Danio rerio: one gene and its partners. The protein of the gene in region 1 interacts with the protein of each later gene in a pairwise test. Links are inferred from orthologs where the notes say so. Each region holds a gene or a part of one and is shown on either strand. Other genes may lie near its edges.

Region 1 (3,521 bases):
AATAAAGTGCACACTCAGAAATAAAGGTACAAATTCTGTCACTGTGGCAGTACCTTTTTAAAAGTTACATTTTTGTTTCTAAAAGGTCCTTAAACATATTAATACCTAAAAAGTACTTAGCCCTTGCTGAAGATTATGAAGTAAATAAATCTAAAATAGCCAGTGTTTTGCTGTAATAAAAGGAAACCGTATTCCACTGTAAAAAAGGGTCTAACAGTTTACCTTAAAGGTACAAAATGGAACCTTTTAATGAAACAAAAGTGTACCCAAAAACTGCTAATGTCCACTTGTATGGTACAAAAGTGAACCATTTGAAAAGTACCACCTCAGTGATAGATGTTGTACCTTTTTATTTCTGAGTGTGTAAAAATGTCGCATTTCTGAGTAACTTGTAAAACACAATCCTCTGCGTAACACTCTGCGTAATACTCATGTACTTAACATAAACTGTCCACATACTGTATATACAGTATAGGCGAGCAACTAGGCAGCTACTGGCCTATGAAAATGGTTTAGTTGGTGTTTCGTTTACATATAGGTCTGCTAAAACAAGCTGTATCTGAAATCACCCTATTTTCTTTGAATAATGTGCCCTTCTAATGGTGTCCAAACCATAACTGACATTCTGAAGTGCATTCAATCAATTCAACCTAGGCTCATTCTGATTATGTACCCCTATATTTCTGGAGAATGCTAAATACGTCCCAGGAGCTATGTTTTTTTTTTTTTGCAGGTTGTTTACGCGAATCCACCAGAGGCTGCGGTGTATGTTTTTTGAGATCTAAAAATTTTCTCACGAGTGTCATTTGCACCTGCTCTTCTTGCATAAATCTACCAGAGGCCGCTGTCAACTGACTGACCGTCTCTCCGATACCCCCACCCAACTCATCCCTAAACCCAACCGATAGTGTTTTAAAAAGCGATGCAGATTTTTTTAATTGTTTTTTTTAGCTGCTTTCTGAAACTGTTCTTTGCTAGACTCAAAACCCCGTCGTCAGTCATTGCCACTCCAACTAGTAACAGCGGAAAAGCTGTCCACACAGGTAAGTGGTCAGCTGGTGAGTGTGAAAAAGAAACTGTGACATACAGCCCCGAAGCTTTCAAAGCTTTTAAAGACGAAATGCAGTCATACATTCCTCTGGCTATATAATTTGAGATCTCCAGAAATGTATAAAGGGGTACATTTTCAGGATGAACCTATGTTAAGTCAATCACACAATGGACCACCATAATTAATATACAACCCATGTACACTCAACAGCTAGAAAGTACTGTAAATAATGCACTGTAGGGCTTTGAGCACCAAATTAATTTCCATATCTGATGGTGTAAGTTTCAGAATTTTGCAGTATAGATGTCTGCTTGAGGAAACTGAAGAAAAAAAAAAAAGTACACCATACACTTAAATAATTCTTGTTACACTTGTATTTTCCAATGTGGAAAAAATGTGTAGGTACCCATTTCCTAAACTCCTGTTTTACATTTGTACTAGCATATAATATTCAGTAGGTTATTATGTGTGAGCATAAGCTCACCAGCTCACAAGTTGCACCAGCTTTATACATGTAGATAATACAGTATGATTCAATGTTTACACACTGTGCTTGCATAAACAAATAGAGATCATGTAAGTTCACTGGTATAAGGGATAAAGTGGGAACAGCTATTTTGCATTTTGCATATTTTGTGTCTCGTCTATTTAAAGTTTGCATAATTACGTTTCTTTAAAGAAAATAATAAAAAAGTCCCCCTCAAAGATACTTTACACTGATGTAAACTAACAGTTGCACTTGCATATCATTGCAAATTCAATGTCAAATAAACACTAAACTTGTTATTCATCAAGGAATTAAAGTGTTTTATAATTTCCACAAAAGTCAGATTTTTCATTAAACAATACATACACCGTGAAAACCAAAAGAGGAAAGAAATGCTATACAATCTGTACACTAGTAACATCATACAATCATGTAAAAGTGATGCTGCATGTGTGTTAATAAAGCCATTTGGTACAATAATTTTTAGGGAAAAGGGAATGAAAAACAGCAACTTGAAAACACTGTTGTTGTTACTGTGTGTTACATTGTTAACACTTATTTATAGGATGTGGCCAGGACACAGTCTTCACAGCCCAACACTGTGATTTCTTCCACATCCCAGTCTCCTGCGAACATGGGTCATTTGCGACAACCGTGAGTACTTGACATGAAGCAGAATAAAACATGACACTCTCCATTTTTTTGAGAGAATTGTCCTTTTAAAGCAGTACAATTCAGATATTCAGGTTTAATCCAGCTATGTTGTACTTATTTATAATTTGGAAAATTTGAAAGTCCATTATTTGGAATGGTTTTATTTTGTTTACGTTCAGGTATAAAGCAGTTTACAACTATAAACCCCAGAATAGAGATGAGCTGGAATTGAGAGAAGGAGACATCGTTCAGGTCCTAGAGAAGTGTGACGATGGCTGGTTTGTAGGTAATTATAAATATTTTTGACATCATAATTAAAAGTGCAGTGTGTAAGATTGACACCTAGTGATTGAACTAGGTATTGCACTCCAAAATTAAAACACTTTTTCACCCTGTCCCCCCTCCAAAGTCTTCACGCAAAGTCCCTTTAAGGCAGGGGTGTCAAACTCAATTCCTGGAGGGCCGAAGCCCTCCACAGTTTAGTTCCAACCCTGCTCCAACACACTTATGCCAAGTTCAGACTGCATGATATTCAAAGTAGTCGTGTCACAGATGTTTTCACACTGCATGACTATCTGGGCTAGCGTTTCGTCGCTGCTTTGTTTACACTGCAAGATGGTTCAGCGACATGGACATTCACATTGCATGACTTTACTATAGGGAGAATCGCCGACAACTTCGTCCAAACTACGTCTCACAGCCAAAAACATGTAGTATATCTTTTGTTATTAACTACATAATGAGAAAGAAGCCTTTTAATGGGGTAGAACATGTACATATTTGCTCACCTGGGTTTAAAGGGAATTAGCCATTTCTCCTCAACGTTGATAATAAACTAATTTCTTTCTGTATGAAATGTCAAACAGACACGGTTGCTCCTGAGTCCTGTCAAACCTCCACTAGTTTTTCCTCCATTTCGTGGGTCCAAATAAACCAAAAAGAGCGCTTTTAACTTCTCCCCCAGCCTCCCGCTGGCCTGCAGCAGGTATACACACACGCACATATAAGTGAATGCCGCTCTCTCATTGGCTGTAGGCGATCGCTGATGTTATTTTCAGTCAAAACTCAATTCACACTGCATGGTTTGAATCGCTGACAGCTCCTGATATTCAGCACGCCAAATATCTCACAGGCATCGGCGACTCATCTGCGATTCTCTCAGATCGCGTCTTTAATCGTTCATACTGTGTGATTGTCACTCACGTTCACAAGCAGCGAATTGCCTGTGATTTTAGGCATTTGTCGGCGATTTCTCAAAACCTGTCGGCGAGCCAAAATCGGGGCTAAAATCACGCAGTCTGAACTAGGCATTACCTGTAGGTTTCAAAC
Region 2 (3,521 bases), on another chromosome or scaffold:
TCGGGTGCCACTCCTGTCAGCTGAAAACAGGATACTGAGGCTACAATTCACAATTACAGACTCACCAAAATTGAACAATAGAAGATTGGAAAAACGTTGCCTGGTCTGATGAGTCTCGATTTCTACTACGACATTCGGATGGTAGGGTCACCAGATCTCAACCCAATAGAGCACCTTTGGGACGAGGTGGAACGGGAGATTTGCATCATGGATGTGCAGCCGACAAATCTGCAGCAACTGCGTGATGCTATCATGTCAATATGGACCAAAATCTCTGAGGAATATTTCTAGTACCTTGTTAAATCTATGCCACAAAGGATTAGGGCAATTCTGAATTCTGTACCTAATAAAGTGGCCAATCAGTGTATATTAACATGTATTATTTGTTTTAATTCTTCACCAAAATGAGTTTTTTATGGCTAATATTTACTATTTTATGCAAACATTCCAAATTACTGGAATAAATTTGTGTTTAATACCAGCAAGATGATGTATTGTTCTGTGTTGGATAAATGTTAATTGCCCCTCCATTGGACTTTGGTTAAGAAACCTTATAACATGTTTGGCTCTTAAAAAACTCACACACATAATAAGGAATTAATCTGCTTAATTTTGCAATATCTGAAGAAGCTTTTGAAGTCTGAAGTTGTGGAATGTGAAATGTGTTTGATTGGATTTTCTTTTTTTATGATTATTATTATTACATTTAAATTTTTTCCTTAAAACTGTCTGGGGTAAGTTTTGGATATTGGGGTTTGAATTACTGTAAAACTTAAAGATATGTTATACAAATTACTGAAATAATATAAATCATTTTAGACATGAATAACAATCAATATGTACATGTATTTACGAAAACACTATTTAATGTTGTCAACATTGTCTAATACATACAAAAACTATTTATCCTGCACTATAGTAACACAGTACCTTCCGTTCACAGGTTGAGTTTGAATGCATTAATCCCAAGAAGCAGAAAAAAAAGAGTTACAAAAACTCGGGAATCATAATTCTGAAGTCATGCAAGGTAAGGACATAAGAAACAAAGAATGGTGACACATTCACTATTCACAAGGCAAAAGAAATGATTAAATACATTCTGCTTGCACATTAAAGCACCTTCCATGTTCCGGCTTATTTAATTACAATTGTATTACAAATAAAAGGGTCTTTAATTGCAGCTTCTCTGAAAGGACAGATTAGTTTTATAGTGCTAAATCCCCTTTAAATAGCATGTATTAATATCAGCACAAAACACCTGTCACTCCTGCACCGTCACCATTTAATCAGCCCTATGATGGATTCAGGCATTAAAACAGAACATGACTCAGTTGTTCTCACTAAATTTTCAAATGAACCATTTTTCAACCTTTGTGGAAGGATGGCTTATGTGATGTGCTTATATTAATATAAGACGTGTGTGTTTTTTTTTGTTAGATTACAAGAGACTACTCCTTCCTGGACTACATTCTGGGTGGCTGTCAACTCATGTTTACTGTGAGTATGATAACGTCACCTCTGGAATTGAAATCTTTGTTCTTGTCAGATATTGGAGGGGAGGGGGGAGGGGGGGGGGGGTTCATGCATGCAAAATGCAGAAGCATCATTTGTATGCAGATGATTTCAGAAATATATTCTGTCACTGATGAAAATTTAATCTGAAAACCTCAATGACAGAACGCATTTAGAACGTGAAGTGACAGAATTGTATGGTTTACATTATTGAATTTTGAGGAGCTAATAGTTGAAGTCAAATTTGTTGATTCCGGTACGCTAAAAGCCTGTTTTTTTTTCCCCTTGCACTGTCCAGTTGAACAGACTCTATATATGGGTTCTTTATGTGACTCAATTGCCTTCACCAGTGTGATTGGTAAGAAATGATACAGAAAGTGAGTGAAATTCACAGGTTGCTATAGTTACAGTGTGCTGCAGTGTAGAGGTCCATGTCTCTCATTTGAAACTAAAGACAGAGAGAGAGACAGGGGGATGTAAAAAACAACAGAGGGAGAGAAAGCGAGAGAAGCTTTTAAACAAAGGAAAGTGATTTTGATATCTTGTTTGTTGTATGACGCCAACTTATGATGCACGCTTGTTTGTTGCTCTGCAGATAATCATAAGCCTTCACACTCTTCAAAATCAAGGTTCTTTATTGGTATGGCTGATTCCTTGAAGAGCCGTTAACATCACCAGACCACAATGAAACCACATAATGAAAATTGTTCTTTGAATAACTTTTCACCAGGAGGTTCTTTGAGGACCTAAAAAAGGATATTGTATGACATCACTGTGAAAAACACTTTTGAGAATTGTGAGAATTTATTTTGTTTCATGCAATTACAATCCCATTATAATTGCATGGAACGCATAAACAATTCTCACAATTCTTAAAAAATTGCTAGATTTTTTTTAACCCAGAAGCCACATAACTTGTCCAGATTACCTTTACTCGCTTTTATAGATATATTATACACTTCTTTTTAAATCAAGGTTCTTTTTTTTTGCACTTATGGTTCTATGAAAAACATCTAAATGAAGAAAGAACCTTATTATTTTACAACAGTTTCTTTAGGGTGAAAATCTGCAAAAAACATTTTGTAATATTTATTCTTAAAGTTTAAGATTATTTACATTGGAGACATTGGACTCTTGAGTCAGGGAAAAAGTATTTGCATGAAAATGTTTTGTGTTTTTGTACCTCCATCAGCAAATTATATTTAAGCTAATATAGCTAAGAAAATTATGTCAACATTGCTGGAAAAAATTATGGTAAGGTTGGATTTGGGGGTATTACCTTATTGTTACCCAGGTCCACTGGCTATGATAAACATATATTCACATGCAAATCATTCAACTTGCATGCATATATGGGCTTCCCTCTTAATACTAACACACACTTAAAGCCCATCTACCTTTTTATAATCGTCATTGACCAATGGTAGTTTAAAGGTGTTTATCAGCTGGAGAGAACGTTTCAAGCTCTTTCCTAACTCAAAATGAACTTTGTTTTGCTTGACATTACATCACATTAATTCAGTATATTTTAATTCAAGAGTTCACACTTAGCTGATGATTGATTTTAAAACGTTTTTGGAAAGCTGTCTCGGGAGAAAGCCCTGAACTCATAATATCCTCGAACCCAGGGTTCCCTCAGAAAACTCCCCCCTTATAAATGACAAATTAGGGATTGCTATGTAGACATACAGTTTAAGTCAGAATTATTAGCCCCGTTTGATTTTTTTTTTTCTTTTTTGAATATCTCCCAAATGATGTTTAACAGAGCAAAGAAATTTTCACAGTATGTCTGATAATATTTTTTTCTTCTGGAGAAAGTCTTATTTGTTTTATTTCAGCTAAAATAAAAGCAGTTTTTTAAATTTTTAGCCCCTTTAAGATATATATTTTTTCTGATAGTATACAGAACCAATCATCATTATATAATGACTTGCCTAATTACCCTAACCTGCCTAGTTGACCTAATTAACCTAGTTAAGCCTTGAATGTCACTTTAAGGTGTTTAGAAG
Region 3 (3,521 bases), on another chromosome or scaffold:
TGCACTGCTCTCTGAGGTTTTGTGTTTAAAGCACCCGCAGTCACCTGGAGCTCAGACATGAGCGTATGCTGCAGCGCATGCTCGTGTGTGTGTGTGTGTGTGTGTGTGTGTGTGTGTGTGTGTGTGTGTGTGTGTTTATGTGTGTTTATGTGTGTGTGTGCGCGTGCGTTTTCAGCGGTATAGTGTGGAGGGAGATCTTTTCAGAAATGCTATATGAAATGCCAGTGTGTGTATTTCTCGAGCGGGTTGCTGCTGCGACGAAGGCGGGGCAGAGGATCGTGATGCTGGCTCCGCATTGTGATGTCTATCTGCCGTCGGCGATGGAAAACTGAAAATTCAGCTATCATTTATTAACTCTTCACTTGTTCAAAACCTATTTGCGCTTTCTTCTTCTCTTTAACACAAAAGAAGATATTTTTTAAAAAAGTTGCTTGCTGGCACCCATTGACTCCCATAGTAATTTTATTTCTTAAGGCTCCTACACACCGGGACGCTTTTCGTTTGCGTTATTCGTCAGCGTTTTACGAGACGTTTTTCCGTATTCAAACCCAAGCAATTTTCACTGGCGTCAAGCAGAAGAGTATGCAAAATCACTCCTTATCATTAGATGGCGCTACACAACTTTAAGCTTCTGACACCCAACACATAAGATAAGGAAGAGAGGAAGTCAAAATGCTGCTGCAAGGCTTTAAACGGTTGTTGCTAGAGCTGATACGTTTGCGGCCGGAAGTTAACGAGAAATATTTCTATTATTTATTAAATTTCTCATTTGTTGTATTTTATTAACGTCCACCCCCACCCCAACCCTAAACCCAACCGTCACAGTAATGTAAAAACAGTTGTTGTTATACAGTGTCATTAAAAAAAATGCTGCTTTATTAATGTGTATATCGCACTTCTGGCCGGCCGCATATCCAATCTAGACTTTACCGCTTTAAACAGGTGCCAAAAAACATGACCACGTTACACCAGTTTCACGCGCTTAGCACTGATTGCCTGTACACTATCGAGTTACTTTTAAAATTCTTCTCTTGGTTTTTACATTTCTACAAGGCCTGGCACTAACTTATCCTGTTGATTGAGCATCAGCCTGCTCGGTCTCTTCGGTAATCTAACCAGAGATTGTGAAGCCATGCACAAGGGAACGTTAGACGGGGAGAACTAGCTCATTTGTATCAAAGGCACAGGCAACAAAAACAGCTACAATGTCTCAACATCTCAAGTTTCCCATTTTTAAAACGGAATAATAAATAATCTGATGGGTTTTTTGAGCTGAAACTTTACAGGCACATTCTAGAGACACAAAAGACTTGTATTAAATCCTGAAAAAGGGGTAAAATAGCTGCCCCTTTAAGAAAACTTTTAAAATTAAGACAATCAAAAACTTTAGCTACAGGTCCATGGGCGGTGGAAGACTAATGTTAAGTTCATGTATTTACTAGCATGGAGTAAGAATGAAAAATACTTGCACAGCATTTATTAATCATAGTTTAACATTCAGTAATGCGTTATTAAAATCTAAAGTTGTGCATGTTAGCATTAGTTACACTATGGGGTTTGTTGAGTCCATGAATCTAAATGGCTGATGAAGATACTTTAGGGTCGTTCATACAGAATGTGTCTTTGCATCTAAAAATGGTGAGACACCAAGGTCAAGAGTGATTTTGAAAGTCCACATGAGATCTAAATTTGCAATGTTTATTTTGCTAGCACTCATTGTTATTTTTAAAGTAAGTTATTAATCTGTGCAAGTTATAATCCATTGAAAAAAAACTGTTTGTTTTGTTAATCTTTAATGCAAGTTGGACCATTCGCTTAAGTGTATGAAGTGTCAATTTTTCTGTTGATGTCAACCTGAGGGCTTCCAAACTAAGTGCATATTAATACCCTCCCTTAACTTTTTAGTTTAATGTGAGAGAATGATGTACAAAAGACAGCCACACTCATACTTAATATTCCGTTTTGGTTGGAAGTACATCAACATACTGAAATAAAAGTCTCAGTCACGTAGACCTTTAAAAAGCTCCACCATGTTGCCATCAAATAAAATAGCTTGCTACTGTAAACAGATGAGTGGTGCTGCATTTAAAGGTTTATATTATTTTAACTTGACACGACATCTCAAAAGAGGCACTGCCAAAAAAGTGAGTGTAATGTTCACGCTTATGTCAAGTGCACGTTTACATAAAAATTACATGTGTTGTTCATTGTTTTTACATGTTGACATTCATTAACTAATATTATCAAATAGAGGATTTAGTAAAGGGTTACCATGATATTCATGAGGCATGGCTGGTCACTACGTTCATTCAATGCAAAAAAATATTGTCAGTAGTGTGAATGTTTTGAAATACATGTAATTTATGCAGTTTCAGGAAAGAGTGTGTCGTGGATGAAGGGTCTGGATGATGATGTTTGGGTTTGGGTGATGGGAGAACATCAAAATGACAAACCCTATGATCAAGTCTGTGATGAGATCATGGCCCAGAGAGCAGCCCTGCAGGCCCAGAGAGAGGCTGAGGAACTCAGGTAAAACAACTATATTATTCACCTTATTCTTCGTAGACGAGCGGGCGCAGCCATTTGAATATTTCTGACTCGAGACTTCCGGTCTCATTCACTTTCATTCATTTTTAGACATTAAAAACGTCTCGTTTCTCTGTTTGATGTTGTAAACTGATATTTCCTTATTATATTGTTCTACTTGGTTTGTATAGTCATGCAAAAAAAAAAATATATATATTTTTTTATAATTATTTTTTAGGGGTTTTCACCTTTATTGATAGGACAGTGGAGATGTAGAGACAGGAATGTGTGGGGAGCATAGATAGAGGAAGGATCAGCAAAGGACCTTGAGTTAGGAATCGAACTCTGGTCACTGCGAGCACCTCGGTGCTATATGTTGACGCACTAACCACTAGGCTATTGGCGCCAACTAGTCATGCAAACATTTGTTTGTAGAGTAATTAGTTTGACCGTTAATTATTCCTAGTCATTTCTCCAATAGACGATTGAATCTGAAGTTTTAAAACAATCGCAAAAACAAGCGCACTTCCGCATTTTAGAATAAGGTCAATAGCTTTCATTAATGACGCAACCACAATTATTATTTGATGAAATACAGCATGAGAATCTGAAATATTAGTATATATTTATGTACTGTCGTTTATATTCTTGGTGCATATAACTTATTTTATTGTGTGTTCTATTTAGGATTTAGACATTAGCCCCTTTCACACAGTGATACCGGTAAATATTCGGAAAATTTCCAGAACGACTTTACCGGTAAATTCAAAAAAAGCCCTGTTCACACAGGCGAGGACGTTACAGAATTTTTCCGGAAAAAAGCATTCACACATCCATCACAAAATGCCGGTAAATTCTGACATCATTAACTAGAAATGAGCTCTAAACGGTTGCGCTTGTGTTTGTAAACATTTGACTACATCACAAACTCTGTGGATGGATCAGTATTGTGAACAACTCCAATGAAAACATAGAGAAACACTTGCGCATGTCGA
Region 4 (3,521 bases), on another chromosome or scaffold:
GCCAGCAGCAGGAGGATATGACCATACTGCTGTCTCAGGTGTCCACAGCCTGCCTGCACTGCGAGAAAACACTGCAGCAGGTACAATCTAAGGCATGCTAAGTCACACAACCAGCATGATCAAAAGATCAGGAATTTGAGTTTGTTGTTTTTGTGCCAGGATGATTGCAGGGTGGTTTTGGCGAAACAGGAGATCAACCGGCTGCTGGAGACACTGCAGAAACAGCAGCAGCAGTTTACAGAGCTGGCCGATCACATTCAGCTGGATGCAGGCATCCCTGTTACTTTCACTAAGGTACTGTTAATCATATAGATCATTGTTGAGAGAAAAAGAAATGCATGTTACTGTCAGTGATGTACAAGATGGATTTTTTAACTTAATTTACTAACTTTAAAAAATGATGAATGGTATTTGTAGCTCTCTTGCAGGGATGCCCACACCTTTTCAGCATGCGAGCTACTTATAAAATGACTAAGTCAAATTGATCTACCCAATATAAAAATGCAAAACATATATTACTTTTGTGACAATATTGAGATCCTGTATTGAGAATCCTGTATTTGTACAATCTATATATATATTGATGTACCTTGCATAACTGTATGAACCCATATTGTGCAAAAGCCTACAACTCTGTACATATTTTTGTCGTTACCTTACTCTGATGACTTGCACTGAATGGAATCAGCCTGGGAAGTATAGTTCGGACAGTAGCTGCTGATAGCCAGCCTCAAGCACATTACCAAATGATTATCAGTCATGGTGGAATGATATTTATGCTGTTGGCATAGTTTTATGCGCATGTGTGGTTATCCATGCATCAGAAAAGGTCAAATATAGGACTGGCTTCCCTGTATGTCAATCAAGCGACAAATTTCAGTGAGGATGGATGATAGGCTTATGTCTGTTTTTTTGAATGCCACGCGGTCTACCCATGCTTGCTTTGTGATCAACCGGTAGTTCCCGATCAAAGTATTGGGCACCCCTTTTCTATGGCATTTGTTGAAAAAACTGTAGTCTAATGCAGTTTAATATGTAAATCAATGTTATCTATTTATAATTAATTTAAACAAAAGCATACAATTAAAAGTTATATTAAAGCTAATAAAAAATGAAATACAAAATGTTTCTGCTAGTTGCCAAGGAAATATTTAAAACTAATATAAACATTTATAAAACCTAATAATAAAAATAAGAGACACAAGCTGCTTTTCCACTATTATGCCAAACCGTTCTAAGAACAGTTCGTTACGGTTGCGGTTGTTTCTCTACTGAGCCTAGAACGTTGCATCACGATTACAAATCAGTCATCCCGTGGAGTTTTCCGTCCACGTGCTGAACTGTGCCGACAGATTCTGGGTGTTGACGTCGCCGGTCTGTTGCCAAGCTACCACAGCTGGCTCAGCGGAAGCGCACTAGACATCAGACATCCATAAGTAAACTACTACATTTAATATAAAAAAAATATACAAGTCTAAACGTTACAGTTTAAAAAAGTTTTAAAACCATAAAGCAGTCTCTGGCAGAGAAGGGAATCACTAGCCCACCACATTCTTATGAACATATTTTATTTATTAAAGCTATTATTTCATTGACTTGAATATAACCATTTATGATCTAATTACTAACCCGTCATCTAAAATCTTAGAATAATAAAATAGCCTTTTATTTTATTCGTGGCTAGGGCTTGATTCATTTGATTGACATCCTAGGCAATGAGACCTTTACTCCGCCTGACTGAGAGTGAGTTTATTGCATGCAACGCTGTATTTTGATGGCAAAAAACTCAGTCTGATGTGGGAGAGAACTTTACCAAATGTAGCTGTTGATTTCTAAATGTGAGTATTGTTTTTACTAAAAAAAACTAAAACAAATGTTTTATTGAAATGAAAAGAGCAATTTTCACCATTTATATGATTCAGTTAAATATAAGTTGGATGTTTATGGGGCCATGTAACACATTTTTGTGTTTGGTTTTTTTTTTTGTTCTTGGTGATCTTTAACATTATACTGGGTAGCTATGCAAAATATTTTCTAAATTGTCAAGCAGGAATTTGTCTATAGCTTTAATTACGAAGACAAAAAAATATTAAAAATAACAAAAATAAAATTTCAAAAATACAAAGATAAAAAGAGCAGCATTTTGCTAAATATAATAGTCCTATATATGGTTTATATTGCGCTGTATGTTATATTCGTTTTTATTTTACTTGATGCATTCGTTATTTAATGTTTGAATGCTGAAAGAAATAACAGCCATCATTTAAATGGTTATTTTACCATCAAAATATAGCTAGTATATTTTATATCATTATCAACTTGTAATGTAATGTATTGTATATTTATATATCGCATTTATTGTGTATGGCCATACACAAAAGCCCTTCACAATCATGAGCAGGGTCTCTCCACACCACCACCAATGTGCAGCATCTACTTGGATGATGCGACGGCTGCAACAGGACAACGGCACCAGTGCGCTCACCACACACCAGCTATTTGTGGAGTGGAGAGACCGTTATAGAGCCAATTCAGTGGATGAGGATGATTGGGAGGCCATGACAGGAAGGGCCGATTGAGGGACTTTGGCCAGGACACCGGGTTACACCCCTACTCTTTCACGAGAAGTGCCATTGGATTTTTAATGACCACATTACTTTTGATATAAAACCGCTGTGTAATTTAACTGATTGTTAAATAAAATAATTTTAGTGTTATATTTTGTATTAGTGAAAGTGCCTGCTGACTTTTGACAAGGCCTGTCAAAATATATATTTCTGCAACTATTATACAAATGCATTATTATTGTTGCATTGTCATTGTTTATTTTTCTGTACAGAGATTTGAAATATATTTATTTCCCCTCCAATCATTTTTTTTCATCACATTACATTTTTAAAATTTGCCCAGAGCTGCTCAACATATTACATCTAAATAAATAAAGGTGCTGTGACATGTATTTATGTTTAGCACCCTGAGAGAGTGGCATAAAGAATGGTTCAGAACCAAAGTGAAAAAGCGGCTACAGACAGACATAGACAAAATTGTTGGTACTGTTTAGTTTTATGCAGGCCAGTATTATTATTTTGACTTTTTTAATACTTCTTTTGTTAAAGCTAAATTTGAAAGCAATATCTGATTTTCATTAGTTTATTTTCAGTCATTTTTTATTAATCATTACTTTTTTCATGTTATTTTAGTGACAGTCTGCTGTAGATTTTATTTAATAGAAGGGTACCCGACACTAAACTGAGGCATTTTATTGATTATCCCGCTTATTGTGTTGTCATTTGCCTAGTTATAGACGATTTAAAATAAATTATTCTTTACAGCTCATTATTTGACTACATTTTTATCAGTTGTGACATGTTAGATATCCTAGTCTCCACTTTTCAATTAGTTAGAAGCAAACAGAAAGAAAGATTATATACGTGCGTGTAAATGACAGCCATATCTAATAGCACATATAATGTATTAACTACCTTCAAATATTTTTGTGCATATTGTGAGGTGGTTGATCA

Evidence for each region. The genes of interacting proteins can lie anywhere in the genome.
Region 2: the proteins of sorbs3 (region 1) and cpne2 interact in binary tests that used the Homo sapiens proteins (3 or more experiments, as listed by UniProt). The two-hybrid records come from large-scale screens. The link is inferred for Danio rerio from reciprocal best matches to the Homo sapiens genes SORBS3 and CPNE2.
Region 3: the proteins of sorbs3 (region 1) and sh2d4a interact in binary tests that used the Homo sapiens proteins (3 or more experiments, as listed by UniProt). The two-hybrid records come from large-scale screens. The link is inferred for Danio rerio from reciprocal best matches to the Homo sapiens genes SORBS3 and SH2D4A.
Region 4: the proteins of sorbs3 (region 1) and trim23 interact in binary tests that used the Homo sapiens proteins (3 or more experiments, as listed by UniProt). The two-hybrid records come from large-scale screens. The link is inferred for Danio rerio from reciprocal best matches to the Homo sapiens genes SORBS3 and TRIM23.

The regions. Positions count from the first base shown.
Region 1 is NC_133183.1:45,217,461-45,220,981, reverse strand, and holds part of sorbs3 (vinexin), read left to right. Parts: intron 1-2,103; coding exon 2,104-2,192; intron 2,193-2,371; coding exon 2,372-2,478; intron 2,479-3,521. UniProt on the Homo sapiens protein: Vinexin alpha isoform promotes up-regulation of actin stress fiber formation. Vinexin beta isoform plays a role in cell spreading and enhances the activation of JNK/SAPK in response to EGF stimulation by using its third SH3 domain.
Region 2 is NC_133193.1:19,062,503-19,066,023, forward strand, and holds part of cpne2 (copine-2), read left to right. Parts: intron 1-943; coding exon 944-1,027; intron 1,028-1,437; coding exon 1,438-1,497; intron 1,498-3,521.
Region 3 is NC_133185.1:7,480,438-7,483,958, reverse strand, and holds part of sh2d4a (SH2 domain-containing protein 4A), read left to right. Parts: intron 1-2,369; coding exon 2,370-2,529; intron 2,530-3,521. UniProt on the Homo sapiens protein: Inhibits estrogen-induced cell proliferation by competing with PLCG for binding to ESR1, blocking the effect of estrogen on PLCG and repressing estrogen-induced proliferation. May play a role in T-cell development and function.
Region 4 is NC_133185.1:12,464,523-12,468,043, reverse strand, and holds part of trim23 (E3 ubiquitin-protein ligase TRIM23), read left to right. Parts: coding exon 1-80; intron 81-159; coding exon 160-294; intron 295-3,521.